Linked DNA regions of Macaca mulatta. The protein of the gene in region 1 interacts with the protein of each later gene in a pairwise test. Links are inferred from orthologs where the notes say so. Each region holds a gene or a part of one and is shown in the gene's direction. Other genes may lie near its edges.

The links.
Region 2: the proteins of NAPB (region 1) and STX4 interact in binary tests that used the Homo sapiens proteins (3 or more experiments, as listed by UniProt). The two-hybrid records come from large-scale screens. The link is inferred for Macaca mulatta from reciprocal best matches to the Homo sapiens genes NAPB and STX4.
Region 3: the proteins of NAPB (region 1) and STX5 interact in binary tests that used the Homo sapiens proteins (3 or more experiments, as listed by UniProt). The two-hybrid records come from large-scale screens. The link is inferred for Macaca mulatta from reciprocal best matches to the Homo sapiens genes NAPB and STX5.
Region 4: the proteins of NAPB (region 1) and STX16 interact in binary tests that used the Homo sapiens proteins (3 or more experiments, as listed by UniProt). The two-hybrid records come from large-scale screens. The link is inferred for Macaca mulatta from reciprocal best matches to the Homo sapiens genes NAPB and STX16.
Region 5: the proteins of NAPB (region 1) and STX6 interact in binary tests that used the Homo sapiens proteins (3 or more experiments, as listed by UniProt). The two-hybrid records come from large-scale screens. The link is inferred for Macaca mulatta from reciprocal best matches to the Homo sapiens genes NAPB and STX6.

What each region holds. Positions count from the first base shown.
Region 1 is NC_133415.1:60,651,933-60,657,302, forward strand, and holds part of NAPB (beta-soluble NSF attachment protein), read left to right. Parts: coding exon 1-64; intron 65-1,349; coding exon 1,350-1,418; intron 1,419-1,789; coding exon 1,790-1,840; intron 1,841-3,806; coding exon 3,807-3,917; 3' UTR 3,918-5,370. UniProt on the Homo sapiens protein: Required for vesicular transport between the endoplasmic reticulum and the Golgi apparatus.
Region 2 is NC_133425.1:29,669,962-29,676,023, forward strand, and holds the start of STX4 (syntaxin-4), read left to right. Parts: upstream 1-1,877; 5' UTR 1,878-2,146; coding exon 2,147-2,176; intron 2,177-2,353; coding exon 2,354-2,455; intron 2,456-2,544; coding exon of another isoform or gene 2,545-2,566; coding exon 2,567-2,666; intron 2,667-2,802; coding exon 2,803-2,877; intron 2,878-3,313; coding exon 3,314-3,384; intron 3,385-6,062. Other genes in the region: uncharacterized protein LOC144337996, read right to left, coding at 1,487-1,606, 1,716-1,872. UniProt on the Homo sapiens protein: Plasma membrane t-SNARE that mediates docking of transport vesicles. Necessary for the translocation of SLC2A4 from intracellular vesicles to the plasma membrane.
Region 3 is NC_133419.1:11,221,724-11,228,007, forward strand, and holds the start of STX5 (syntaxin-5), read left to right. Parts: upstream 1-2,638; 5' UTR 2,639-2,771; intron 2,772-3,218; exon of another isoform or gene 3,219-3,367; intron 3,368-3,463; 5' UTR 3,464-3,482; coding exon 3,483-3,707; intron 3,708-4,200; exon of another isoform or gene 4,201-4,300; coding exon of another isoform or gene 4,301-4,363; intron 4,364-6,284. Other genes in the region: WDR74 (WD repeat-containing protein 74), read left to right, coding at 153-253, 349-404, 740-885, 1,002-1,058, 1,525-1,704; TEX54 (testis-expressed protein 54), read left to right, coding at 1,847-2,353. UniProt on the Homo sapiens protein: Mediates endoplasmic reticulum to Golgi transport.
Region 4 is NC_133415.1:111,441,780-111,448,019, forward strand, and holds the start of STX16 (syntaxin-16), read left to right. Parts: upstream 1-2,630; 5' UTR 2,631-3,367; coding exon 3,368-3,448; coding exon of another isoform or gene 3,449-3,511; exon of another isoform or gene 3,512-3,579; intron 3,580-6,240. UniProt on the Homo sapiens protein: SNARE involved in vesicular transport from the late endosomes to the trans-Golgi network.
Region 5 is NC_133406.1:38,394,955-38,400,578, reverse strand, and holds part of STX6 (syntaxin-6), read left to right. Parts: intron 1-832; coding exon 833-939; intron 940-4,381; coding exon 4,382-4,476; intron 4,477-5,624. UniProt on the Homo sapiens protein: SNARE promoting movement of transport vesicles to target membranes. Targets endosomes to the trans-Golgi network, and may therefore function in retrograde trafficking.

The sequences.
Region 1 (5,370 bases):
TGCAAAGGATTACTTCTTCAAAGCTGCCCTCTGCCACTTCATAGTAGACGAGTTGAATGCCAAGGTAAGGAGTCCTTCAGCACTGATTGACTGATTTCATCCTTAAGAACACGTACACATTCTCTCTTGTTCTTGGAGTCGTTTCATTGCGATGTTAGTACCAAGAATAAACTGGGTACATTAAAAATAATAGGTATTTTTCTGTGGTATGTGTCCCAGTTGTAATCTTTTAACAGCTGTCAAAGCTGTTCTCAAAAGTTCCCTGATAGTTTATAGCCATACCACCCTGAACACACCCAATCTCGTCTGATCTCGGAAGCTAAGCAGTGTAGAGCCTGGTACTTGAATGGGGGGCACTGCCTGGGAATACTTAGTGCTATAGGCTTAAATATATGTCTATATTCACTGGTAGCCACAGTTTTGTTTTTGTTTTTGTTTTTTAGTAGTTTTGCTTTAAAGAAATTACAGGGCCGGGCGTGGTGACTCACGTCTGTAAACCCTGCATTTTGGGAGGCCAAGTGGGGTGGATCACCTGAGGTCAGGAGTTCGAGACCAGTCTGGCCAACATGGTGAAACCCTGTTTCTACTAAAAATACAAAAATAATTAGCCAGGTGTGGTGGCAGGTGTCTCTAAGAGCTACTTGAGAGGCTGAGGCAGGAGAATCACTTGAACCTGGGAGGCAGAGGTTGCAGTGAGCTGAGATCGCGCCTCTGCACTCTAGCCTAGGTGACAGAGTAAGACTCTGTCTAAAAAAAAAAAAAAGAAATAAGGAACTAAGGGGGAGGAGGAGACGATAAGAGTAGGATAATATCCATTTAAAAAACAACCAAAAAAACAGGCAAGCTCAGAAACGGTGTTGGAGTGAGGACTGGGAAGCAATTGGAAAGCACAGTGAGCACTGGGAGCCAAGAGGCAAAAAGGCAGGCAGCCTTGACGTGGCCGGTGTCTGGAGTGGAAAGAGCAGAATTAAAGCCACTAAGAGAATGTTCTTTCTGTCAGCTTTGAGCAGGAAGCTAAATGTAATTTATTTGGAATCTGTACTGTATTAAGAGCTTCTCCATTTAATGGATGGCACAGATACCTGGTCTGTGAGTGTTTACGAATTCATTTTCATTTACACTGTCTTCTCGGCAGCAGCATGACTCAGAAAAAAATGGTTTAGAAATTATTCTTAATTGAAATGGAAAATTCAGAATAGACAGATTGTCTATGTTGATTCTGCTGTTGAGTTTAACTGCATACTTCTTCAACACTTAATAGGATATAGGTAGATCTTATTTGAAGCTGGTAAAATGTCGAAAGCTTTGTTTAGTAAGTCTGAAATTGATGAGTGGTTTTTCTCTCTCAGCTTGCTCTTGAGAAATATGAGGAAATGTTTCCAGCGTTTACTGATTCAAGAGAATGTAAATTATTGAAAGTAAGTAATACTAGAACTTTGAAGAAAAATGCTTTTGTTCTGTCAGGTGACAACACCTAAGTGGGGTTGGGTATGAAGTGAAGTTTTAATCTATAAAGTCTGCTAACTGAGGGGCCCTGGTACTTTCCTGCTTTAGCATTATAGGTGTTCAAATGCAATTAAGGTCAGAAACATGTAGTTGTATTCTGAAATAGGCACCTCAGAAATGTTAGTACAAAAACTAGATCCCTAACTTGAATCTTGACTTGTATTTGAGTATTTCCGCAATTGTGTGCAATATTTGGCAACATTGGTGTTATACTTAAAGTATATATTTAGAAATGGGACTTCATCTTACGGAACTATTTTTTAAAATATTTTTGTGCTACCAGAAACTCCTAGAAGCTCATGAAGAACAAAACAGTGAAGCTTACACTGAAGCAGTAAGTTATGCTTTTGGGACATGTTACATTATTTGAAGATTTAAGTTAAACTTCTTTTCCTTTTCATTATGTAAAATCTAAACATTTATTTGAACATGACTCCAGCATACCTTGAGTTGTATTTTCCAAAGGTCATCTTTTATATATCACACAAATTAAACAGTTCTATTAGCCATGCTGAGATTTGACTTATATTCAAAAGTAATTTAGCTGTAAGACTAGTTCAGGAGCAAATATTCCATTTATATTCTTATAATTTGCTCTTTTAATTTTTTCTTTTGAAAATAATCTGACCCATAAATAAGTGTAAAGTAAAATTAGTTAAGGCCAGGCACAGCATCTCAGACCTGTAATCCTAGCACTTTGGGATGCCAAGGCAGGCAGATCATGAGTCAGGAAATCGAGACCATCCTGGCCAGCATGGTGAAACCCCATCTCTGCCAAAAATACAAAAATTAGCCGGGCGTGCTGGCACATGCCTGTAGTCCCAGCTACTCAGGAGGCTGAGGCAGAAGAATCACTTGAACCTGGGAGGCGGAGGTTGCAGTGAGCTGAGATTGCGCCACTGCACTCCAGCCTGGTGACAGAGTGAGACTCTGTCTCAAAAAAAAAAAAAAAAAAAAAAAAAAAAAAAAAAAAATTTACATTAAATATAATTTAAAATATTAAAACTAAGTAGTGAGAATTTGCTGTATTCGTGGCATGAAAAAAATGGAAGGTGGCCAGGCATGGTGGCTCACGTCTATAATCCTAGCACTTTGGGAGGCCGAGGCGGGTGGATCACCTGAGCTCAGGAGTTTGAGACCAGCCTGGCCAACATGGTGAAACTCCATCTCTATTAAAAATACAAAAATTAGCTAGGCATGGTGGAGTGTGCCTGTAATCCCAGCTACTTAGGAGGCTGAGGCAGGAGCCTCAGAACCTAGTGGGCAGAGGTTGCGGTGAGTCAAGATCACGCCGTTGCATTCCAACCTGGGCAACAAGAGTGAAACTCCATCTCAAAAATAAATAAATAAGTAAAAAATAAAAAAATATATATTTTTAAAATGAGGGTTTTTTCCTTTATAATTTTTGTTTTTCCATCTTTTGCCATGTCATGTTTAGAATTAAGCAAAAAAAAATTTTTTTAATATATTTTGAAACAGAGCCTCACTCTGTCACTCAGGCTGGAGTGCAGTGATGTGATCATGGCTCACTGCAGCCTCAACCTCCTGAGTTCAGGTGATCCTCCCACCTCAGACTCCTGAGTAGCTGGGACTATAGGTACACACCACCACACCCACCTAATTTGTGTGTGTGTGTGTGTGTGTGTGTTTGAGACAAGTTTTCACCATGTTGCCTAGGCTGGTCTCTTAACTCCTGGGCGTAAGCTATCCACATGCCTTGGCCTCCCAAAGTTGAAGGATCACACCCAACCTCAAGCAAATTTCTCAGTAGCCTCCTGTAACATGTTCATCACAACTCAGGAGTGATGGTGGAAAGGAATGTTTTCCTGTTGAACTTTTGCCTGCCACATCATTTTCATCCTATTGTAATTTTTTTCTTTGATAATGCATTGAAATGTGTTAAAGGAATTCCGCTTCCATACATATTCTAACTCTGCAATTAATGTTTTCCCATGTTCAGTGAGTAATTTTCCATATTACTTTCACATTTTTATGCAATGTCCAGTTTCTTTTGCCACAATAATTATGACTGTTAATGAATTTTCTTTTTACACATGTTTGAAAACAGAGAAATGTCAAGCCCAGGAACTAGTCACTAGTATCATCAAAATAGTAACAGGATAATGAAACAATAAACAGTTTTTTAGTGAAGAAAGTTATAAACCGGAATTATTAATTTCAAATAACAAAGAAAGTTAGTAGATTATAGCTGTAAATGTATAAACAGCTTGGGGTACTATTATTTTGTGTTTTTAACGTATTTACATGGGGTAATTCCTGCTCCTCTTTCTTTATACTAGGTGAAGGAATTTGACTCAATATCTCGTTTGGATCAGTGGCTGACCACCATGTTACTTCGCATCAAAAAGTCCATCCAAGGGGATGGAGAAGGAGATGGAGACCTAAAATGAAATGTTTTTGTCTTTGTGGCATGCAGCTAACTCCTGTTTAGTTTTGTCTTAGGGTCAAGTGATCTTTATGGGATGCCCATTTAATGGCTTAATTTTGTTGCATATGAGCCAGACAGCCTGGGTATTGTTTAAGCTCCCCGAGTCTGTGTTGCTGTGAAATGGATGAAGGGGAGGCTCCTGTTCATCTTGTGGTAATGATGGGTTGTTTCATGCTTATCAGAACCCCCAGCGTTTTCTGAGAAGTACTTCAGAATCTCATTCCTCATATTTCATTGGTATTTGTGGAGCCTATGTTTAATGTTGCCATGTGTTTTTATGTCCTTTTTGTTAGACTTGAGTACTCAGCCCAGTTGTTCTCATAGATGCTTTGCATTTTCTCTGTGCTTTGGCATCTGGATATGTTCTTTAAATGTGTGTTTAGTTTAGGACAGTTACTAGGAATGAGTTTATAACTTTATTAGAAATCACTTCTATTTTTGTTATCCTGTGATTATTTTGATGGTGCTAGTGACTAGTTTCTTTGCTTTTTGTGTTGTTCCGTGTGCTAACATGTGCATGGCAAAAATTTAGAATAGCCAGGGTCTGTAGGCATCACATTGTGAGGAAAGGAGCTTTCTGGAAGTACTTGCTTCATGTATGGATGAGTGTCAAAGTGAATTTGATTTGTACTTAGACACACACACACACACACACACACACACACACACACCACAAGATCTATTAGAAATGGAATTTTTCTCTTTTTCTGGAGATAGTTTTCACTTCTAGTTGGAGTGGAAATCCCTTTATATTTGCATTAAAGTATTTTAATTGGCACAGCCTGCTCGTTATTTTCATGTTTATACACTTTCCCACATTGAGGTGGTGTGTTCTGTGCTATGGCTATAGAAATCTTGGTCAGGGCTGGATAGATTATCTAAGTCAAGCTTGAGAATGAATGTATGTAATTTTCCTGTTTATTGCACATGATGGGTTAGGTGGGGTAAATGTGGTACAGGTATGTACTGTATGCCCAAGTGGGCAAGAACCCCAACTTGTTTCTCAGGGGACTTGATTGTTCTCTTAGCTGGTGGAATATTTTGGCTTATGTGTTTGAACTCTGTCATGTTTAATTGGTTTATATATGTATGCTATCTTGATTCATGAACTTGATTCTATTATTTTATATGCTGATATTTAGACATACTCTTGTCTCCTGAATGTCCTCTGCATATTTTATAGTTAAATGATTTATATTTGAAATGTGTTTGTTGCCATACTTAACCCAGCAGACACTCTGACATCATGGAGCTTCACTGATGACAGATAACGAAACTTTCTATGTTATGTCAGGTAGTAGTAAGTAGTATTGGAATGATGTTTTCATTTTTGATGGCTCTCAACTGGAATTGGTAGGATTTTATTGGGCTGAAGTACAGTGAGTGTTTCCAGGCCAAGGGTCAAGTGCAGGTTG
Region 2 (6,062 bases), on another chromosome or scaffold:
ATCCTCCTGTCTGAACCTCCCAAGTAGCTGAGATTACAGGCACCTGCCATCATGCCTGGCTAATTTTTGTACGTTTGTAGAGATGGGGTTTCGCCATGTTGGCCAGGCTGGTCTCCAACTCCTGGCCTCAGGTGATCTGCCTGCCTCTGCCTCCCAAAGTGCTGGGATTGCAGGCATAGGCCACCGCACCCTGCTAGAGCTGGGTTTTAACAGGAAGAGAAGAGCCAAAAATCCTCACATAGAATCAGACAGCACTTGACAGTTTCCAACCTCATCATCACTGAAGTTTAGAGCAGCCCATACCCATAAAGATGATCTCCCCATCCCCCCAAGTTACCCACTGTGCAGAGGGAGATCGACACTTAAGAGACAGGAAGCAACTTCCAGAAGTCCATAGCAACCCAGTCCCAGGAATCTAGGTTTCCTGACCAGGGCATAGCAGAAAGGGTCCATTCCTTTCCTTGCTTGTACCTTCACAGAAGCTTCCTGGACAGAGCCCTGGGGTCCAGGAGACCCGTTATTCATTCCCAGCTATGCTGAGACTTACTAAATGACCTTGGGGACTCCTTCTAGAGAATTTAAGTTCCACGAGTGCAGGAATTTTTATCTATTAGTCCTTGATGTATCTCCAGCCCTAGAACAGTGTTTGGCCCATAGTATGTGCCCAAAAATATCCATTAAATGAATGTTCTGTGCATGGTGGTGCATGCCTGTAATCCCAGCAGTTTGGGAGGCTGAGGCAGGAGGATTGCTTGAGCCCAGGAGTTAGAGACCAGCTTGGACAACATAGTGAGACCCCATCTTGTAAAAATTTTTAAAAATAAAAAATGAGTGAATATCTCGATAGCCAGGATTAGAGAAGTGTCACAGTCAGAAAGACTGAAGCCTAAAGAAGGCCAAGGAACCAGGGTCTTCATCCTCAGATACATGAAAGGCTAAGATTCTGTCCACAAGTATTTATAGAGGGCCCGTAATGTGCTTGGTACTGAGCTAGGAACTCCCCAGATTCAGTTAAGAACAAAGTCATTACCTGCCTCAGATGCAAGGCAGGGTCTGGGGGGTGTGAGTGGCAGGGAAGGCAGCGTGCAGAGACACTTTTCTTAGCCTGAGCTGCCCTGACATGGTCTGACAGCCCACAAGGTGGTGAGTGAAGCCGGGCTGTAGTGTTCAAGGAGGGCGCCGGCTGGCTGCCCACCTGTCAGAGGCTGCGCCAGGAGGATGCGGAAGAAGAGGTTTCTGCCTTGGCTGAGGTCAATTTCCACCCCTAGATTCCCTGCCCACACAACCCTGCAATTTTCTGACGCTGACGACTCGGATCCTATTATTTCCCGATTTTCAAGGTCCCATGATGCTGACAGCCCCAAATGCTAAGTCGTCAGTCCGCCCACGCCCCTGGACCCGAAAGCAATAAAGGCGAAGTCAGCAAGGGTCCTACCACCCACTGCCTCGAAAGGCCTCTGGGAGTGGTGGGCGCGCCCCTCCCCACCTCGCGGGGGCCGTGTGGGCGTCGTTCGGTGGTCGGAGTGCCGGGGACGTCGTGATGAAAACAGCGTCCCAGAGACGGCGCTGACCGAGCCGGGACACGTGACAGTCACAGCGTCACATTCTGCGGTCCACGAGTTTGGGACCGGGTTGGTCACGTGACGCGGTGGGGGCACCATGGGGTGATGTGAGATGCGGGTGCCTCAGATTACGTACAAATGACGTATTCCTACCCCTTTTGGCAACCAGATTTCCGTTGGAAGATGCAACGGTTCCGGTGACGGTAGCCAGTTCTCGCGTCCACGCAGCTCCGCTTCCGCTCGGGGCGCAACAACTTCCGACTCCACCTTCCGCGCCTCGGGCGAGGAAGAGACGCGACCATATGCGCATGCCCCGAATTTATCACGGAGGGGCGGGGCTGAGGCTGCGGGAGCTGGAGGGGGGAAGAAAAGGGAATTCCAACCTGTGGAACCTTGGGGGGTCCCCGGGGTCGGCGCCTTCCCATTGACTGTGGGCGGTGCAAGGGACGGAGGCTCTGGTGGCTCGTGGGGGTGTTGGGGTCCACAGGGGGAGGGAGGGGAGTGTCAGAGTGTGAGTGGGGTACGGGTATTCCAAGTTTGCCGGCCTCCCGGTCTGACGCCGGGGAGGGAGAGCTCAGGCCGCCATGCGGGACAGGACCCACGAGCTGAGGCAGGTGAGACGCCAGGGCAGCGGGGATGGGGGCGCGCGGACGAACTGGAACGCAGGACTCCTGGTCTTCGGGGTAGGGAGGGGTGGCTGATGGCCAGGAAGGAAAGTCCCGGAAGCCTGTGGGTCCTGCGGGGTGACAGCCGCAGCGAAACAGTGGTGCCAATGACTCCGGGCCTGGCAGGGGGATGACAGCTCGGACGAAGAGGACAAGGAGCGAGTCGCGCTGGTGGTGCACCCGGGCACGGCACGGCTGGGGAGCCCGGACGAGGAGTTCTTCCAGAAGGTAAGGGGATGGAGTCTTGGCCTGGATTCGCGAGGGGGTAGGAGGACCCGAGGAGCAGCGTGGTCTGGAGTACCCCATATCTCTTTCAGCCCTCTCGGTCACCCTCCCCAGGTCCGGACAATTCGGCAGACTATTGTCAAGCTGGGGAATAAAGTCCAGGAGTTGGAGAAACAGCAGGTCACCATCCTGGCCACGCCCCTTCCTGAGGAGAGTGAGTGAAACCCCGGCTGCATAGCGCATGCTCCGCCCCAGGGATTGTGGGGGTTGTAGTTCCACGCAGGTGGTGGCCAGGGTGGTTTGTTGAGGTGGGGGCTGCTGTTTGGGAGTCGTGGCCTTCTCTTATTCAGGCATGAAGCAGGAGCTGCAGAACCTGCGCGACGAGATCAAACAGCTGGGGAGGGAGATCCGCCTGCAGCTGAAGGGTGAGCTACTGGGACCTCAGGCAGATCCTTCCCTCTGATCCTGCCCTGTTGTTGGTATATCTGGGGAGTGTGTGGCCCAGAGAAGCCAGTGATATATCCAGGTCACACAGCAGGCCTGGTTCTAGCATCTCTGTCTTCTGGCCTCCAGGCCATTGTACTCTCCACAGCACAAGGCAGTCTCTCAGGTTCTTTTATTTACAATGAAACCATTTACTTACACAGTTATCACTGCCCACTGGGCATTCTTTGGGCAGGGAGATGGGGTTTTGTTAGGTGGCCTCTGCATTCCTACGGGAACTCAAGTGATGTAATGCAAAGAAAAATAAACTTACTTTCTCCTCTTGGAGGCTCAGCCTTAGTCATTTTATGATAAATTATATTTCCCTAAAAATCCTATGGAGACAAGTACCCCCAATACCCCTGTGTCTTCCCACAGCCATAGAGCCCCAGAAGGAGGAAGCTGATGAGAACTATAACTCCATCAACACAAGAATGAGAAAAACCCAGGTGGGTTTTTTTTCTCAGAAATGACATTTCAGCAAATGTTTCATGAAGTATTAGATGACAGATGTATGAAGGAAGGGCCTGTAGATGTCATGGAGTCCAATTGGATGATTTTTCCAAGTGGGGAACCTGAGCTCAGAGAGAGAAAGAACTTGCTCAAGGTCAGGAAACCAGGTCTCCTGATGCTCAGTCCGGTTATAACACCCTGCTTTATTTTCTTCCATTCAATAAGAAGTTACTTATTGACCCCAGACAAGACCTAGGCTTGACTGTGGGACACGTTTTCTTTTCTTTTTGCCTCAGCCTCCTGAATAGCTGGGATTACAGGCGGACACCACCATGCCGAGTTAATTTTTGTATTTTTAGTAGAGACGGGGTTTCCCCATGTTGGCCAGGCTGGTCTCGAACTCCTGACCTCAGGTGACCCTCCTGCCTTGGCCTCCCAAAGTGCTGGAATTACAGGCGTGAGCCACTGCGCCCAGCTGGGACACGTGTTTTCTAGGAGTCAACATGAGGAGTTAGGGTTCAATAGGGGATAAAGACATTACTCACGTGGGATCTGGTGGCTAATGGCGCTGCCCAGGGAAGGAGAGTGAGAAGTCACAAATTGACTGGCAGGTTTGCTATCTGTGTGACAGGGACATCCTTAGTCCCACAGGTGGAATTCAAGAAGTCAGGAAGTGGAACTTCCCTGGGGCGACACTGAAGAGGAACTCCCCTGGTGTAATATCTTTTTTTTAAAAATTATTATTATTTTTTTGAGATGGAGTCTCTCTCTGTCGCCCAGGCTGGAGTACAGTGGCACAGTCTTGGCTGACTGCAACCTCCACCTCCTTCAAGCGATAATCCTCCCTCAGCCTCACAAGTAGCTGGGATTACAGGTGTACACCACCACACCTGGCTAGTTTTTTATATTTTTGGTAGAAATGAGGTTTCACCATGTTGGCCAGGCTGGTCTTGAACTCCTGACCTCAAGTCCTCAAGTGATCCACCTGCTTTGGCCTCCCAAAGTGCTATGATTACAGGCATGAGCCACCGTGCACGGCCCCTGGGGTGATATCTTAGTAAGGAGATTTGCAGTGATCTGACTGGCCCTCTTTGTGTCCCCAGTGAGGAGGATACCAAGAGGTCAGGGTTGGAGTAGTTGAGCCCAGGGCTCAGCAAAGACCCCAGATTGAAGATGAAACAGCTTGGGCATCTTGGAAGGGTGCAGCTGGAACCAGGAGAGCAGATGTATCTCTGGAAAAGGAACTCCAAGGAATGAGCATATTTAAGGTCTCAGGAGAAGGGGCAAGGCAGAGCAGATGCCCCAGAGCCAGTGTTTCTGGGGAAGCCTCTGGTGGTGATTGGCATGAGTGGTCGAGGGCCCATGTGGGCCTGTTGCACCTGTTTCGCCCAGGCAGCATGTTCATCTCTAGGCATAGGAACTGTGGTGTAGGCAGCAAGGTTGGCATTCAGCAAGCATTCAGCAGTTACATATTGGGTGCCTACTGTGTGCCAGACCTTTTTGGAACTGTTTAGGGTACAGCAGTGAATCAATGATCCCTATCCTCATGGAACTTCCCTTCTGGTGTAGACAATCACCATAATAAATAAGTGAATTATTTAGAACATAATAAGCATTAAGGAAAAAAGAGCAGCGGAAGAGGGACTGAGCATGCTGGAGGAGGGTAGCGTTGCAGTTGAAAGCAAGTGGAGGAAGCTTCATTCAGAAGGTGACATCTGAACAAAAGACTTAAAGGTGTTTGCGGGGAATGGGCATTCTAGGTAGAATGAGAAGTGAATGCAAAGGTTTAAGCTGAGAGTGTGCTTTGTCTAGGGAGGGCTGTAAGGAGACCAATGTGGATGGGCAGAGGGAGGGAACAGTAAGAGGAAGCAAGATCAGAGAGGGCTGGCCGTGCACCTTGGCTCACACCTGTGATCCCAGCACTTTGGAGGCTGAGGTGGGAGGATTGGTTGAGCCCAGGCGTTTGAGACCAGCCTGGGCAACATTGCGAGACCCCATCTCTCTCTGTTTTTTTTTTTTTGAGACAAGGTCTCACTCTGTCACCCAGGCTGGAGTGCAGTGGTGCCATCTCTGCTCACTGCAGCCTCCGCCTCCTGAGTTCAAGCCATTCTCCTGCTTCAGCCTCCCAAGTAGCTGGGACTACAGGCACCCACCACTGCACCCAGTTAATTTTTGTATTTTTAGTAGAGATGGGGTTTCACCATGTTGGCCAGGCTGGTCTTGAACTCCGACCTCAGGTGATCTGCCTACCTCAGCCTCCCAAAGTGCTGAGATTACAAGCATGAGCCACCGTGCGGGTCAACCCTGTCTCTATTAAAAATAAAAATAGGCCAGGTGCAGTGGCTCACACTTGTAATCCCAGCACTTTGGGAGGCTGAGGTGGGTGGATCACCTGAGGTCAAGAGATTGAGACCATCCTGGCCAACATGGTGAAACCCCATCTCTACTAAAAATATAAAAATTAACCATGCATGGTGATGTTCATCTGTAGTCCCAGCTACTTGGGAGGCTGAGGCAAGAGAATCGCTTGAACCCAGGAGGCCAAGGTTGTGGTGAACCAAGATTGCGCCACTGCACTCCAGCCTGGGCAATAAGAACGAAACTCTGTCTCAAAAAATAAATAATAAATAAATAAAAATAAAAAAGATCATGGAGGGCCACATAGACTTGCTAA
Region 3 (6,284 bases), on another chromosome or scaffold:
CTCAGAGAAGAGGCATACATCTAAGATGAGAAAGTTTCTGACAGTGGATCATAAATAAGAGAGCAGTGTGCAGGGAGCGGGTGAGGATGCAGAGATGCCAGAGGGTAGGTGCAGGGTGAGGATACTTTCGTGATGCTTCAGCCTTCCTCTAGGTTCGTGTCTATGATCCAGCATCCCCCCAGCGCCGGCCAGTCCTAGAGACCACCTATGGAGAGTACCCACTGACAGCCATGACCCTCACTCCGGGAGGCAAGTGAGTGTTTAGAGGGGAACGGGTGGGAGGGTGGGGCTTGGGAAGGGCTCCAGGAGGTTCCTGCTGACTCCGCTTGCCTCTGGTCTCATCCTCAGCTCAGTGATTGTGGGAAACACTCATGGGCAGCTGGCAGAAATTGACCTTCGGCAAGGTGAGTGGACTAGGGTATGTTGGGGGGAAAGGAAGGAGCAGGGAGAAGGGTAAGGATTCCCTCTAAGGCGGTGCAGTGGGGCCAGTGAGGCCTCATTCAGGTGCCAGATTGCCTGGGTTCAAATCCTGGTTTCCTCAAAAGCTGTATGACCTTAAACTATTTCAACTCCCTGTGCCGTAATTTCCTCACCTGCGAAATGGAAATATTAGTAGAAGCTCCAGTCTCAGGGTTTTGTTGCAGATTAAATGTTGAAATGGAAAGTGATTGGAACAGGAAACAATGAATGGTTGGTTATTGGCCAGCCAGTTATCACGGATGCTTCCCCCCTTCTCTAGGGCGTCTACTGGGCTGTCTGAAGGGGCTGGCAGGCAGTGTCCGTGGGTTGCAGTGCCACCCTTCAAAGCCTCTACTAGCTTCCTGTGGCTTGGACAGAGTCTTGAGGATACACAGGATCCAGAATCCACGGGGTCTGGAGCATAAGGTAAGTCGTCTCTCCCACCCCAAACTCATGGTCTTGTGGAGGCTCCGCCTCCTTTGTCCCCTTTCATGTTTCTGTCTCAGCATGCCTAGCTCCTTAAGGTCCTTCATCTTTTGCAGGTTTATCTCAAGTCTCAATTGAACTGCCTCCTCCTGTCAGGCAGGGACAACTGGGAGGTGAGCAGTTGGGTCTGGGAATGTGGGAGCTAAGGGCATAGATGTGAGGATCTCCCTATGAAGAGGAAAAGGAGGCAGCTGGAATGCAGACCTGGGACTATCTGTTTACCTGCCTGGTCACTTAATTTCTCTGAGAGGCATTAACAGTTAAAATCCTGAGGGTTATTGCCAAGAGCATGGATGGGGTTGCTTTCTGGGAGCAGGGAATAAAGGTGGTGATACCCAGAGGGATTATTTCTCAGCCAGGGTCTCCTTCCCTGTGGGTTTGTCCCTGTGCCCCTGACTACTTTTTCTTTTTTTTTTAACTTCTTTTTGTGGAGATGGGGTCTCCTATGTTGCCCAGTCTGGTCGCTAAGTCCTGGGCTCAAGCAATCCTCCTGCCTTGGTCTCCCAAAGTGCTGAGATTACAGGTGGGAGCTACCATGCCCAGTCCCCCTGACTCCTACACTTTCTTCCCACTCACCAGGATGAGCCCCAAGAGCCTCAAGAACCCAACAAGGTGCCCCTAGAAGACACAGAGACAGACGAACTTTGGGCATCCTTGGAGGCAGCTGCCAAGCGGAAGCTCTCGGATTTGGAGCAGACCCAAGGAGCTCTCCAAACCAGACGGAGAAAGAAGAAGCGGCCTGGGTCCACCAGCCCCTGACGCCCCTGACGCCCCTGTGCCTGCCCACTTTGTAAATAAACAGCTGAACATCCACCATGACCCTGAGCCTTTTGTGATGGGAGAAAGGAATGAGGGGTAGCTTGGGGTGGGGGCTCCCTGAGCTGGGGCGACGGGATATCTGATGTCACAAAAGCCGGGCCTGGAGGCAGGTAGGCTGGCGTGGGTGGCAGGGAGTCCGGGGCCCCGCGGGGCCATGGGCTGCTGCCAAGACAAGGACTTTGAGATGTCGGATGAGCAGTCCAAGGAGGCAGAGTCTGAGGCCGTCAGGGAAGATGGGACCAGAGGCACACACAGAGGGCCCAGGGAGTGTGAGAAGGGGCTTCCCGAGGGTAGGGGTGAGCTCAGAGGCCTCGTCGCCTCAGGCGCCGAAGGTATCGACTTGAACTCCCCGGACCATCGGAATCATAAGTCGAACGAAAGCCTTCTGATCACCGTGCTGTGGCGGCGACTATCCATGTTCAGTCGTCGGGGCTCCTCGCGGTCAAGCAAGAGACAATCAGACCAGATTAGGTCATCAATGTTCAGTGGTCGGGACTCCTTGCCGTCAAGCAAGAGGCAATCAGATCAGACTCGGAAACAGGAGCGTCCGATCCGAGAAGGCAACCAGGAGGAGCCGGAGAAGGGATGACCCCAGACCTGCTCTTAGTCCGCCCCAACCTCCAGAGAATAAAATTTCTAACGTGTACCTGCACCACCACTCTGGGAAACGGGCGCGGACACCGCCGGGCAGCTGGTTCTTTAAGGCTCCTCCCCGGAGGCGGGCCCAGCCCCCTGGGCTCCCGCTGTAGTACTCAGGGGCGGGGTCACGGCAGCGCCTTAGCCAATGGGAGGGGGGTCGCTCTTGCGTTTGGATGTGGGGCGTGTCTTTCGGGTCGCCTGGCTTGAAAATGCGTGGGACCGCCCCCTCGTCACCGGGGGTGGGGTTACGTGTAGGTGACGTGGCCGCTTCCAGTCTGGTCGGGTTTCGGCGGCCTCAGTGCCCAGGGAGGAGGCAGTGACGGCCGGGGAGATTGGTAGTGGCGGCGGCGACAGGCAGCAGAGGGGAGGTAAGACTTGCTCTAAGAGGGGGTCTGGCCACCGTGTCAGCTCTGGGGCAGTGGTTTTACAGGGGCGACGACTGGCAGGGGGAAGGGAACCAGGGGCAAGCAGGCAAGTCCTGCCGGCCCGGCTCCTGGTGAGCGAATTCCTTGCCGTCCAATCAGGAAAGCCTCTGTTGAGAGAGACGTCGGCATTAGCTAATGAGTGGTTGAAGTCTTCCAGAAGGCGGACCTTGGGCGGGGGGTGGGACTTCCTGTTTCAAATAAACACCCAGAGGTTTCCCCCTCCGCCCACCGAAGTGTGTCAGTCTTTGGAGGTCCGTCACCGGCCCCCCCCCGAGGGGCCGAAGGAAACCACGGAAACGAAGGGACTGGGTTAGGGCCCGGGGCAGTTACACGGGCCAGGCCGCAGTCTGAGGGCCACGGGACTTGGCTCTGGCCCTGTCTCTGCTTCAGGGCCCCCGGCCCGCGCTCTGGCCGCCGGAGCCAAGTTGGAAGAAGAGTCTGAAGCGGGTTCGACTTGGGACAGGGGAAAAGCAGAGCCCTTTCCGCTGCTGGCCCGCCCCAGGATCTGCGAGCGTCTTGGGCGCGAAAGTCCATGAGAAGTGCGGAAGGGGCTCGAGGATTTGTTGATTGGGGTGGGGCGGGGGAGTTTGGGGAAAGAAGCTGCCTGGGGAATGACACTCTCCCCTCCACAACAGTCCGAGGTTATGCGTCTCAATGATCCCGCGGAAACGCTACGGGTCTAAGAACACGGATCAGGGTGTCTACCTGGGTCTCTCAAAGACACAGGTCCTGTCCCCTGCACCTGCTGGCAGTAGCAGCAGCGACATCGCCCCTCTGCCCCCCCCAGTGGCCCTCGTCCCTCCCCCTCCCGACACCATGTCCTGCCGGGATCGGACCCAGGAGTTTCTGTCTGCCTGCAAGTCGCTGCAGACCCGTCAGGTAAGGACCTGGAGTGGAAAAGGCGAGGAGTGAGCCATACTCAAATCTAGGAAGGACTGTGCTCCACCACTGTTAACTGAAGTAATTCTTGGGGGTACCTGATGGAACTGATAGGCTTGGATGGGGCCAGTAGGGTCTGCTGTAAGCAACAGAGAAGAGGTCGGCTGGCTAACTAGAGGCAAGGACTTAGACCTTTTTTTAGGAGGAATCCCTTGGAGGGCAGGAGTGCTATTCTGGAGGGAGTACTTCAGAGAGTACTTGGCTGTAATATAATTGGTGTGAATAAGGAACAAGTTCTAGGAAGAGCCTTTAGCTGAGAAACACGCACCTTGAATTTTCCAATATATTTCTACCATAAATTTGCTCTGTAACCATGAGAAAATTAATCTAGTTACATCTTAGTTTTTATCTCTGTAACATTAAGGACATTTTCTAGATCAGTAATTTGTTGTTTTTGTTTTGTTTTGAGATCTGTTTTCAACTCTGTCAACAGGCTGGAGTGTAGTGGCGTGATGATAGCTCACTGCAGTCTTGAACTCTTAGACTCAAGGGATCCTCTTTCCACAGCCACCTGAGCAGCTGGGACTACATGGATGCACCACCCAGCTAATTTTAAAATTTTTTTCGTACAGGCAGTGTCTCACTATGTTGCCCAGGTTGGTCTGGACACAAACACCTGGCCCTAGACCAGTAATTTGTATCAAAATAACTTAGGGTTGGATGTGGTGGCTCGTACCTGTAATTCCAGCACTTTGGGAGGCCTAGGCCACAGGATCGCTTGAGGCCAGGAGTTAGAGACCAGCAGGGGCAATGAAGAAAGACCCTGTCTCTACAAGAAAAGAAAAAAAAAGCTGGACGTGGTAGCATGTGCCTGTAGTCCCACCTACTTAGAAGGCTGAGCGAGGCCCAGTCTCTTTCTCTTTTTTTTTTTTTTTATTTTAAGAAGGAATTTCACTCTTGTCGCCTAGACTGGAGTGCAGTGGTGCAATCTCAGCTCACTGCAACCGTCTCTTCCCGGGTTCAAGCGATTCTCCTGCCTCAGCTTCTGGAGTAGCTGGGATTACAGGTGCCCGTCACCGTGCCCGGCTAATTTTTGTATTTTTTTTTTAGTAGAGATGGGGTTTCACCATGTTGGTGGGGCCGATCTTGAACTCTTGACCTCAGGTGATCTGCCTTCCTCAGCCTCCCAAAGTGCTGGGATTACAGGCATAAGCCACTGCGCCCAGCCTCTCTCTCCTTTTTTGGAAACAGGGTCTCACTCTGTCACCAAAGCTGGAGTGCAGTGGTTCTATCTCGGCTCACTGCAACATCTGCCCTCCTGGGCTCAAGCAGCCCTCCTGCCTCCAGCTTCTCAGTAGCTGAGATTGTAGGCATGTGCTACCATGTCTGCCTAATTTTTGTTTTGTTAGTAGAGACGGGGTTTTACCATGTTGCCCAGACTGGTCTCGAACTTCTGTGCTCAAGTGATCCACCTTCTTCATCTTCTCAAAGTGCTGGGATTACAGGTGTCAGCCACTGCACTCAGCTCCTCTTAAAAAAAAAAAATTGGGAGTGCTTTCTAATTATTTATTTATTTAATTAATTAATTTTTTTTTTTTTTTTTGAGACGGAGTCTCGCTCTGTCGCCCAAGCTGGAGTGCAGTGGCCGGATCTCAGCTCACTGCAAGCTCCGCCGCCCGAGTTTACACCATTCTCCTGCCTCAGCCTCCCGAGTAGCTGGGACTACAGGCGCCTGCCAGCTCGCTCGGCTAGTTTTTTTGTATTTTTTAGTAGAGACGGGGTTTCACCGTGTTAGCCAGGATGGTCTTGATCTCCTGACCTCGTGATCCGCCCGTCTCGGCCTCCCAAAGTGCTGGGATTACAGGCTTGAGCCACCGCGCCCGGCCAATTAATTATTTTTGAGATGGGAGTTTCACTCTTGTCGCCCAGGCTGAAGTGCAATGGCGTGATCTCAGCTCACTGCAACCTCCGCCTCCTGGGTTCAAGTGTTTCTCCTGCCTCAGCCTCCCAAGTAGCTGGGATTACAAACATGTGACACCATGCCCGGCTAATTTTGTATTTTTAGTAGAGACGGGGTTTCTCCATGTTGGTTAGGCTAGTCTCAAATTCTCGACCTCAAGTGATCTGCCCGCCTCAGCCTCCCAAAGTGCTGGGGTTACAAGCACCTGAGTAAGTATTTTTTTGTTTGTTTGTTCATTTGTTTTTGAGACGGAGTCTCGTTTTGTTGCCAGGCTGGAGTGCAGTGACATGATCTGGGTTCACTTCAGCCTCCGCCTCCGCGTTCAAGCGATTCTCCTGCCTCAGCCTCCCGATTAGCTGGGACTACAGGCGTGCGCCACCACACCCAGCTAGTTTTTGTATTTTTAGTAGAGACAGGGTTTCACCATGTTCGCCAGGATGGTCTCCGTCTCTTGATCTTGTGATCTGCTTGCCTCGGCCTCCCAAAATGCTGGGATTACAGGCGTGAGCCACTGCACCCGGCCAAGTAACTGTATTTATTTATTTATTTTGAAACGGAGTCTCGCTCTGTCACCCAGGCTGGAGTGCAGTGGTGGGATCTCAGCTCACTGCAGCCTC
Region 4 (6,240 bases), about 51 Mb from region 1:
TTGGGCTGTTATGCCAATTTCTTGGATTTTCATGACCTCCCTGCTGTTGGGCTCTTGAGTTGCTTGGGGTGGCTGTTTTGGGAATGCGAGGGTTTTTCTTCCGTTATTTATGTGTGCAAGCAGTGTTCATTTCGCTCAAAGAAATGGAAGCTTGATTGATTTCCTAAATGTAAGAATGAGATTGTCCTGTAATAAATATTTAAGACTGACCAGGAAAGGCGACCACCATCTGCTTAAACACAAGACCAGGAATTATTCTGTTAAGCTTCCTGAACGGAGGGAATGAATGAATAACCATCCTATACAATATTTGCTCAGCACCTGGTAGTTTACAAAGAGTTTTCACTTATCTTATTTGATCTTCACAATAACCCCAGAGAAGTAGACAGGGCACGGATTACGAGGATTACGAAAAACCCACATTTTTTTCTTTCTTTCTTAACAGATAAGGGCTCTAAAGGCTTAAAGCCACTCGAGGGAGGTCAGAGAGTTTGGGGACTAAATCTCAGGTCTCTCATTCATTCATGCACATATTTAAAAAATATTTATCCGGAGCCTGTTCCGAGCCAGATGAGACGGCAGTGGGTACAAAGATGAATAAAACACAGTCCCTGCGTAGGAAGATCACGTTCTAGCCTGGGGGAGAACGCCAGGAAAAGTAAACAAGACCCCCTGCTTTGCGAGGTGATGAGTGCTGGGGAGATAGGAACAGAGTGGGGACCATGTTTCTAATCTGATTCTCCTACCGACAACCAGCTCAGTTGTTATTTACAAATAACTGTCCCCTAAAGGGGCGAGGGGGGAGGCTTGGCCGTGCTGCTGGGGTCAGAGCTCGCGGGGGGATCTGCCGCGGGTGAGGACAGAACTCTCCCTTATTGGGCAAATATTTCCTGGGGCACCGCGCTAAGCACACAGGCTCCCCGAATTTCCCTCCCCAGGGCCTCTGTCTTTGGATGGCCTGTCAGCGCGCCCCTGCAGCCCCCAACCCGGCCCGCGAGGCGACCCGGTCCCCTGTCGCCCGAATCTTCCACCGCAGCGAAGCGTCCCCGGGCGAGTGCCCTGCTCTCCGCGCAGAGCGGAAGCTGGCGGGTTCTCACAGTGAACTCGCCCAGCCCCGCTCGCGGCTCTCTCGATTTTATGTGGGTTTCGTTGTATGCATTTTGTTATTTGCCTCAATGGATATGTTTGACATTAATTTTTAGTTCCACAACGAACGCGCGGGAACGTTCTCCGTGAGAGAAAAAGCACGGCGGGGGGCGGTTACCGGCGTTTTCCCCGGTCGTCTGGGGGTCCCGCACGCGCCCCGCGGGTGCCGCTGTCCGGCCGGGGTCCCTGGGTGAGCCGCGGGCACCGGCTTCGCGTCTCCCCGGGCGCGACTCCGCTTTGCAAGCGCTCAGCACACGGGAAACCCTCGGAAAACACACGTGTGTAAAGTTTGTTCCACGCAGAAACAAAGGACGCGTGGGGGCCGCTTCTGGGGCCTAGGTGTTTTGTTGGAACCCCACTCCGGAGTCCGGCCCGCACCCTCGCCCGGCAAGGGGAAGCCGGCCCTAGACAGACCGGGGGCCCGGAAGGCGCAGCAGCACAGCTCTGCGCCCTCGACCCGCTCCCGCCGAGCGCTGGGCCAGGCCCTTGGCCTCAGGCTTCCCGGGCGGCTCCGGGCCAGACCAGAGCCTCCGTCACTGGGCGCCCGCCTGTTTCTGGGCGCCGTGCTCGGGCCCGGGCAGCTGCTGCCCGACGCGGCCCCGAGGAGCCCCTGCACGAACCCCGCCGACTTGGCCCGGGACGGCAAGCCGGGGTGCTTAGGGCGCCCCGGGCCTGGCCAACGGCGAGAAACCGGGCCCGGGACGCCAGGGGCGCGGGGTGCTCCGGGCCAGGGCCCAGGCGGGGAACAGAGATATTTTTCGCGGGGACGGGGGCAGGAGGTGTCAAAGTTTTCGGGGAACTTTTCCACTTGAGATTCCACGACCCTGTAGTGCCACCTACAGAAAGCGGCAGCTGGGGAGGGCGGGCGCCCCCAACGACCCCCGACTGCCGGCGGCTGCGCGGCCAGACTGCCTGGAGCTTTCGCTTTTTTTTTTTTTTTTTTTTTTTTCCTTTTTTTTCCTCCTGGTTGTTTGTCGGGTACATCTTTTTTCAGAGTGGGAAAAAAAAAAAAAAAAAAAAAAAAAAAAAAAAAGCGAGCGCCAGCGCCTGCAGTAGAGCGTGCTCGGCCTGCAGAGGCAGTCGTCTCCAACTTTTCCTCTCCCGCTCCAACTCCCCGCGCCCAAAACTTCGGCTCTCGGGGAGCCCAAATTTGCCTGCCGCGCAACTTCCACTCTAATGCAGGGACCAAGGGCCCTGGCAGCGGTTTGCAGCCTGGGGGTCACGCTCCCCAGGCTCGGGCCTGCTCGCTGGCCTGCTCCTAGTGCCTAGACCCAGTTGGGGAAGGCGAAACGGGGCGCCCCAGGAGCACCCCGGGAGAGGGCGGAGCACTCTCGTGCCCCGGGGCAGGAGTGCAGGGAGCTCCCGCGCCCGGAACGTTGCAAGCAAGGCTTGCGAGAGTCGCAGGGGGGCACTCGCGAGGGACGGACAGGAAGAGGGCCAGGGGGGACGCCAGAACCCGGGACCACAGTACGGAAACGGCCCGGGGCTGAGCTGCAGTCAGATCCGGGGATGGAGGGAGCCGGAGAAGAGGAGTGAGAAGGCCGGGGAGGCAGGCCCTGCTGTCCTCCTGCAGGCCAGCAGCCTGCTGGCAGTGGAGGACCAGGCCACCCAGGAAAGGAAGGGGTCAGGAGGTCGGGCAGGGCCTCAGCAGGCTCAGACAAGGCCCCAGAAGGGAGCTGCAGGCGCCCTGGAGTCCAGGCCTCAGGCCTGGCTCCGGTTGTCCAAAGAGGGCCTAGGCCAGGCCTCTGGTGGGGAAACTGAGTCACAGCCAGACCTCAGGGCACGGCCTAGACGCTTACGAGCCAAGTTAGGGGTAGAGAGCAAAGACCTTTGGGGGTCTCAGGGAGTAGGGGGCTTCAGGGCCTCCCAGTCCAGAGCTGGATTGGCGAGTTAGACGCTTGTAGATCCAAGGTTGGATTGGGGTGGGGTCTCTGGAACGTTGGATCGCTACGCAAGGATTGGGGGGATTCAAGTGCTTAGAGATCGAAGTCGGTCCTGGGTAGGGGGAGTCAGACAATTGGAAAGCCTAGGTAGTTATTTGGGGAGGGGTCTCTACGCTTTGGCGAAGGGCACAGCTGCGTCTTTTTGGCTTGAAGCCTGAGGCCTTGTCGAGAAGCTTCTGTGAAAGGGTGGGCCGGCCGGGTCAAGAGAAAGAAAGTGAATAAACCAGGAATATAAGTGGGCGGGGGGCCCCTGAGAGGGGGGTCACAAAGGGTGAGACATGGCCACCAGGCGTTTAACCGACGCTTTCTTGTTGTTGCGGAATAATTCCATCCAAAACCGGCAGCTGTTAGCCGAGCAAGTGAGTAGTCACACCACCTCCAGCCCTCTGCATTCACGTAGCATTGCTGCGGTGAGTCTCCCGGCGGCCTCTCCGACACACGGACCGTGTGCACTGCGGCTCTGCCTGTTTGTCTGTCTCTGTCTGTCTCTCTGTTTAATAAAAGAAGATAAGAATAATAAGACTAAGGATAATAAGATCTCTTGGCTAGAATCAGGGGGCATCTGTAACCCTGGATGGGGAAAAAGCGGTGCTGTGAGGCCGCAGCTCCACCTCTGCCTTGTCTTCTCCTCACTTCCGCAGCACCCCCCCCGCGCATCCCCCGCCTTGGCGTCACTGCGCTACAGGCCGCCTGTAATTTACATATGTTTTAACGCTAACATTGGGAAGCATTGGGCCTTTCTGAAGCCTTTTTGTTTCGTTTTGTTTGAAGCTCCCCTCCCCCCAATAGTGAGCCTCAGTTCGGTCCTAATGGCTGGGTCGCGGGACCATGGACCCAAATCCTTGCAAATGAACGACTCCCTCTCCTAAAGAGGAAGCAGTTGTGTTGTTGTTTTGTTTTGTTTTGTTTTTCTGCCCGTTTTAACGGTCCCGCAGCCCTTGTGTGGCCTTGTTCCCTATGAATAATTGTTTCACTGTTCTTCCTGGGGGCTTGGGTTTCTAAGACTCGAGGTGCTAGCCTCTTCACTTTCCATTTCCCAGACGGGAAATTACGCTTTCCTCTCCATTCGAACTTTTTAAAAAAGCCTGAGGAGGTATATGTGAAAATTAACCCTCTAAAATAACATTTTTTTTTTTTTTTTTAAATTAGCCAGAACCTTTAGTTAGCCTAGCAGTAGTGTTTTTTAAGGGTGGTCCTGGAAAAATTACTGTTTCTGGTTTGTTTTTAATGGGGGCTACTTTTCCCTTTCTGAGCCTCAGTTTACTGCTCTGTTAAATAAGGGGCGAGTCTAGATGATCTATACCAGACAGTGATCGTTAGCTCGGTAATGTCTTCAATTGAAAAGTGAAGTTATGAAATTGGCTGTAGTTCAGGCTACCTGCTGTAGGGAGGCTAGGTTGGAATAGAAGCAGCGTTGGAACAGGCGGGTTATAGCCATCCCAGGACCACATTCTTGGGGATTATACTTGATAGGCAATTTTGGAAACCCCGCATTTATTTCACCTCCTAGGGACTGTATTGCCAGTTCATTTTTTTCTTTGTGACTTTATCTAAATGTTTCAGAAAAATTTTGCCATATGTCATGATTATCATGTCTACAAAGACAGTTTCTCCTTTTTGTAAGTCACAAGTGGAGAATGTCTTTGGCCATATAACTGATAGAAAAGTGATTTTAAGCCATATGAGCGGTTTCAGGAATAAAAGCATGTAAACTCAGGTCAAAAAGCCTAGAAACAGGGACAGAGTGTGTGTGAGATTTCAGTTAAGAAGTTGAAGGGTTTTACATTTATAAACTGAAAGGAATGACATTATATTGAAATAAATATAAAGATGTCTGGTAGCATAGAAACGGGCTAATTCTAGCGCTAATTTTGAAGAAAAAAATAAGCCAAGAAATTGAGTAGCAATTGGATGAATACAATTCCTTAATGGTACTTCAGTAATGTTAAATAAGAACTACATGTTCCTTAAATGACTTGATTTTTGTGCTGCCTCAAAAACAACTGAAACTGATATTAAGATTTCTAAGGTATCAGTTTTAATTGATTGAAAAACATATTGTTTATTTTTCAATTTTTAATCATTAAGGTTCAAAATACCCTGAACCTTTGGGTAACATGAGGGTTTTTTTTTTCCCCCATTTAGTCAGATGGTTTAAAAACTTAGTATCTGAGACAGGAAGCTTTTTAAAAGTCCTTCTCTGAATCAAACCACTTTAGAAAATTATTTTCTAAGTTAGGCAATTTAAAAAAAATATTTAAGCTAAGCAAAAGAACTAAAAATGGATAGCTAAAGTATACAGTTTGGAAAAATAGATACGTCAGGATATATACAGATATATTTACCTAACTCACAGTTTTTTGAAAATGATTTCTAAACCCAACTAAAAATATATTTCTAAGTCAGAACATTAAAAAGTGTTTTCTAAATGTCATGCCATTGAAAATGTTAATATTTGTATTAGTCTGACCATTTAAAATCTTTCTCAGATCATTGAAAGCAGCCATATCATTTAAAATATCCTTATAGTCAATTCATACTGTTTAAAAAATAGGTTTTGCATTCTAACAAACATAGTTTTCCTGAATTAAAATTTTAAAAGAAAACACAGATTTATATATTTTAGTTGTGTTTAAAAAAATGGCATGTCATAAATTTCTGAAGTATTTAGGGTTGAAGTGTTACGTCTTCACTTTGCTTACAGGTGATCTTACAAAATCTATTTCTGCACACAATACGGCGAAATGCTAACAAGACCACATAGAGGTTATGATTTTTTTCAGCTTATCTGGAAGTTGGAAAAGCTTTATAAACGTTTTGAAGCAAAAGCCACGTCTAACACAATTTGTAAAAACTGTATTGAGTAACTCTTAGCAATGCTTTTCACTGCATATCTAGCTCATAAAAAATTTAAAGCCTTGTTTCTGATTTGTAAATTTCAAAGCCATGTAGCAAACCAAACAATACCATATCTGTCAAATTTTGAATATGGACTAGGTATTAGGTGACATTAAAGAATTAATTAAATTAATTATAATACACTACATTTGCTAATTTTACTAGAGATGCCTACTAAAATGTTTAGTGGTGAAATGTCAAGGTGTCTTACCTAAATCCTTAAACCCCTCCAAAAACAGAGGAAGCAAATAAG
Region 5 (5,624 bases), on another chromosome or scaffold:
CTGCTTTTGTGTAGATTAAGGGGTAGGAGGAAAATGAAGTTGATTATGTCTGGTGTTGCCTTTGATATGTAGCTATATTAATAAAAGGAAGTTAGTGATAATGTGGGGATTTGATGAGCATATACCCATTGAAACTATTGATTCTTAAATATTGTGTTTTATGTATACATGTAGTTTATATGTTCTTTTGTTCTTTACATTAGTATGTCTGCTTAACCAGTTGTTTACTTAAATTGCTATTAAACACAGGAAAATTTTTTTCTGTAGAAAGTGAGGAGAATGCAACACAACTAAAAGTAAATATTTGTCAGTCAGAAGTTGTCCTTGAGGTAACTTATTGCCACAGGGCGTCCTTTAGTTTGTCCTTGAAGAGGGAGGAGAGACTGTGTGCATAGTTCCCCACATCCAGAGATTTGCCAGACTCTCTTGTATTTAAGCTGTGGCAGTCTGTTGTGGATTGAGACCTTGATCTTGGCAATGGGCTTCCTCCTCCCAAACATCCCCACGTCTCAGTGGTCATCTGCACGTGTGCTTTCAGCCATTGTCTGCTCCATTATTGGACGTCAGCCAACCAGAGTAAATCTCTCTTGGTGGTTTCAAGCCCCGCTGACTGTTCACAAGTTGGATCAGCAGGAGATATCAGTAGCTTGACAATCCAGCCTTTTGAGCAGTGTGTTCTCAGAGGCAACGGTCTGGTCCTTTGATTTCTGGGCTTTGCTTCTGAATGTGAATTGTCCCAAGTTGGCAAAGAAACTAGCAGCTGCTAGATTGCTGGGCTTGGAACCAGGTAAGATGGATTTTAATTGCTTATTTCCCATTTCTCTGGCACCAGTTGATCGTGGAACAGCAGGATGAGCAGTTGGAGCTGGTCTCTGGCAGCATCGGGGTGCTGAAGAACATGTCCCAGCGCATCGGAGGGGAGCTGGAGGAACAGGCAGTGTGAGTATTGAGACACCCCTCTCGCTGCAGTGAAATTCAGGGGCAAAGCCATCCTACGAGACCCCTAAAAAGCCTGGCAGCTACGTGGCTGGTAAGATCAAAAGCTGTTTTATTCGTAGCTGCATTTTTATTCTGTTTTGCAGACTAGCCTCCCCAAAAGAAGCAAATCTGCTCTGTAAATTTTACTACAGGCTTTAGGCAAAGTTGTTGTTATTTTTAAACACCTCCAAAAACAGACACAGATTTCTCTGAGCAGATACTCGAAGTACAGTTATGAATGGGAATGTGAAGCAGAGAAGCCTCTGTAACCTGTGGGGATTTTTGAGCTGACTTTATCATCCTATGACTCTCCCGCTACATTGAGCAAACACTCTGCTTTGCATCTTAAATTATTGTAACTTTGGTTTTTGTTGTTGTTGTTGTTTTTAAAACTTACAGATTTAACACCAGTTAACAAAAACTCTTTCCTCTCAAAAAAATAAAAACAAAACATAACCTCAGTTTGTTTTTCCTTATGAACAGTCCCTTTTGCGCTCAGAAGTTTGATGGCAAAAACTGCATTCTTAAATGCTGCCACAGGATACCTTTATCATTTTACAAGTCTTTTTAAAGAGAAAAATAATAAAACAGTCCGCTAGGATATTTCAGAAACTCTCCTGTCTTGATATTACGTTTATCATGACACATTGATTCATTATAAATTCTTAATGGGCCCCTGTTCTACACCAGGCCTTCTGGAAGCCAAGGGATGTAGAAGGGAACAGAGCAGACAAGACAGCCCATCTCTGCCAAAGAGTTTGCCACTTGCTGGGTAGAACAGACATTGTGTGAGTGGTGAGGGGTCATTAGATGATGGCAGTGACGTGGGAGGGCCCCTGTGATGGGGACAGTGCATGCTGCCTGGAGAGCCCTGACTTAGCCCAAGGTTTCTGAGGAAGAGGGGTTTAACTGAAGTCTGAAGGATGTGTGGATGTTAGCCAGGCGAGGTGAGCGTTGGTGTGGAGGCAGGTGGTGTGGGGAGCGTAGACAAGGAGGAAGAAAGTGCGCCTGTGAAGATGGAGAGGTGCACACATGCATGGAACAGGGAGGTTCCATGTGTCTGGAGGCAGAGAACAAACCAGGGAAGGTCTTGTCAGCATGGTCAGGAGGTACCACTACTTATTCTGAGCATGATGAGAGACCAGTGGAGGTGAGGTTAGGAGTGATGGTGTGATCAGGTGTGATTTAGATGATGTGCTGCAGTGGAGCCAGGTAGGGAGACCAGGCAGGAAGCTGGAGTAGCCAGAATCTGTTTCATGTCTATCTAAAATGGGTCCTGACCCTAAAGTTCAGTTTGAGGAGGGGAAGGGACTAATGGCCTGAGCTTCTCTGTTGATGAAGCAGCCTGGCGGGGCAGTGGGTAATAGAGTCTGCGGGACTTCCGGTTAAAGATGGTGAATTGACACACCCCTACCTCCACTCCCTATCCACAGCTCACTAGAAAAGTAGTAAAGGGGTTTGTTTTAAGGGCATGGTGGTTCACACCTGTAGTCCCAAGTACTAGGGAAGGAGGCTGAGGTGGGAGAATTGCTTGAGCCCAGGTGTTTGAGGCTGCAGTGAGCTATGATGGCACCTCCAGGTTGTACTCCAACCTGGGTGATAGAGGAGACCCTGTCTCTAAAAAGGTAGAAATAACAGATAACTGGGAAAAAGCGTGGGATTTGGACTTAGACCTGTGCTATCTAGTATAATAGCTACTAGCCACATGTGGCTAGCTGTTAAGTAAGTTTTATGTGGCCAGTCTGAATTGAGATGTGCTCCAGAGATAAAATGCTTACTGGATTTTGAAGACTTAGTATGGAAAAATATAAAATAGCTTATTAATAATTTTTATATTACATGTTGAAATGATAGTATTTTGACTGTATTAGGCTAAATACAACAGAATTAATTTCACCTGTTTCTTTTGAAATTTTTAAAAATGTGGCTACTAGAAAATGTAAAATGGCATATGTGATTCATATTTTTGTTGGATGGTACTGAGATAGATTTGGGCCAGCAGCTTGGTTGGTGAGTGTCCATGGACTGAAGGTGGGGTGATGTGCCTGTTTTGTCTTCAGTATGAAAAGTCACACCCAGCGCAGAAAGGTAGTTCTTGCTTTTCAGAGTTTGACCCTGTCTGGATAGGCCTGCCAACTGCAGCACCAAGATGCTGCCAGGATCTAAAATGAGCTAAATATGTTTTAATTTGAAAATTTAGGTAAGGGACAAAGACTTGTTTTAGTTGTCAATATGGAGTTCATGTAATAGTTGATTTAATAAAGAGTTGGTTGCCCTGAATCCTGCAAGACTGTCAGATGTCTAGTTGGGCACAGATCAAGACCAGCAGTTTCTAACTGCCATTGATGCTGTCAGAGTTAATATAGCCTTTTTAGTAAGACTGTTAGTACTAATTGGTATATTACATTCTAGCCTCAGAATAATCATTTACTAATCAAAAGTTGCAAAGTCTGGAATATTTAGTGACTTATGAAATAGGCACTGCTGAAATCGTATTTTGGGGTTTTCTTTCCCAGCTGCGCATTGGACAGCAAATAGTGTAAGCCTGCTGGAGTCAGTTTTCCTACTGGGAAATACTGGTTTCTCTGTGAGGACAGATGGGGAGATGTGCATGTGCGTGCACACACACACACTCACACACCCCATCAGGGATGTTAGTGCCGTGGTCTTCTGGGTTTATAATAAAGCACATAGTGCTTTACAGGAGATTATTTTATCAAAGTACATTCCTTAACTCATATTGACATAAAGTGCTTTTGTGTATTACCTGCTTCTCACAAGAGTCGTGTGAGGGAAGTTGGGCTGATAGGATTGCCCTGTTTTACAGGTGAGGAAACAGTCCCAAAGAGCTGTAGGGTACGTTGTCCAAGGTAGCGGTGTAAACAAGTGGCAAAGCCTGGCTGTCTGCCTCAGATAGCATTGTTTCTACCACATTGCGCTGCCACTGAGTTTGTGTTATTGTATAGACAGGTCCACACTGCCTTGTCTGCAGTTCTGAAATCTAGAAAGCTCTAAAATCTCCTTTCGTTTTTTTTTTTTTTCTCTTTAAATTTACAGCAAGCTCATGTTACAGAAGAACCTCACCTGAACTGACTCCAACTCTGACTCCTCATAGTTTTTTCTGCAGAAATATTAAGTATCTGATTACGGGGACTGCCCCAGACCCTCCTGGCGGTATTGACTAATGCAAAGCATATGTAATTTAGGCTTTTTTTAAATCCCGAGAATTCCAAAATCAAAATCCTATCTTGTCCCAAGGATTTTGGATAATAGAGTGAGGTCCTGAAACCCACCGTTGCCTATTTTGTTTGCTAAAATGGAGGCCTAGTCCTGTTAACCCAGCGCACGTGCACTGCCAAGGCTTCGTGCTTACCAGCGACCTTCTGTGTCTGCTTCTCTCTAGTATGTTGGAAGATTTCTCTCACGAATTGGAGAGCACTCAGTCCCGGCTGGACAATGTGATGAAGAAACTTGCAAAAGTATCTCATATGACCAGTGGTATGTATGGTGTTTAAAGCTTAAGTATTTGTACTTAATTCTAGAACTCTGTCTTGGGGGCGTTGTCTCATAGTTATGCCCATCCAGATCCCTTTCTTATTTTTTTACAGATCCCTTTCTCTTTTTTTTTTTTTTTGAGACAGAGTCTCACTCTTTCACCCAGGCTGGAGTGCAGTGGTGCCATCTCAGCTCACTGCAACCTCCACCGCCTCCTGGGTTCAAGCAATTCTGATGCCTTGACCTCCCGAGTAGCTAGGATTACAGTTGCATGCCACCATGCCCAGCTAATTTTTGTATTTTTAGTAGAGACGGGGTTTCACCGTGTTGGCTAGGCTAGTCTCGAACTCTTGACCTCAGGTGATCCGCCTGCGTCAGCCTCCCAAAATGCCGAGATTACAGGCGTGAGCCACCGTGCCTGGCTGATCCCTTTCTTATGGCACTTTTTTTTTTTTTTTTTTGTGATGCCTTAGAATCAGAGAATGGAAGACTTGTATGTTCAGTCTTTATCTGCTGCTTGTAGCCTTAACTCGGGAGAAGGTCTTTGCGCTCCCCCACGGTGTTTGGTTTGGTTTTTTCCCAGTAGAGTAACTTTCTTTTTTTCTTTTTTTTTTTTGAGATGCAGTCTCACTCTGTTGCCCAGGCTGGAGTGCAGTGACGTAATCTTAGCTCACTGCAAGCTCCACCTCCCAGGTTCACACCATTCTTCTGCCTCAGCCTCCCGAGTAGCTGGGACTACAGGTGCCTGCTACCACGCCTGGCTAATTTTTTGTATTTTTAGTAGAGATGGGGTTTCACTGTGTTAGCCAGGATGGTCTCGATCTCCTGACCTTGTGATCCACCTGCCTCGGCCTCCCAAAGTGCTGGGATTACAGGCGTGAGCCACCGCGCACGGCCCAGTAGAGTAACTTTGTTTGCAATTACAAAATCCTTCTTTATTTTACTGTTTTAAGATTTCCTTGCCAAAATAGGGAACTTATTTAAAACAACAGTTAAGTCAGTTACTGTTTCTCCTGGACATTCTTTCATTGATAGAAAGACACCTACTACTTCAGAATAAGATGGCATGTGTGGATCTATTTTAAATTGTTATATTTGAAATATTTCAGCAAATTTGCGCCAGGATGAGGATGAAGAAACAATTTTCCGAT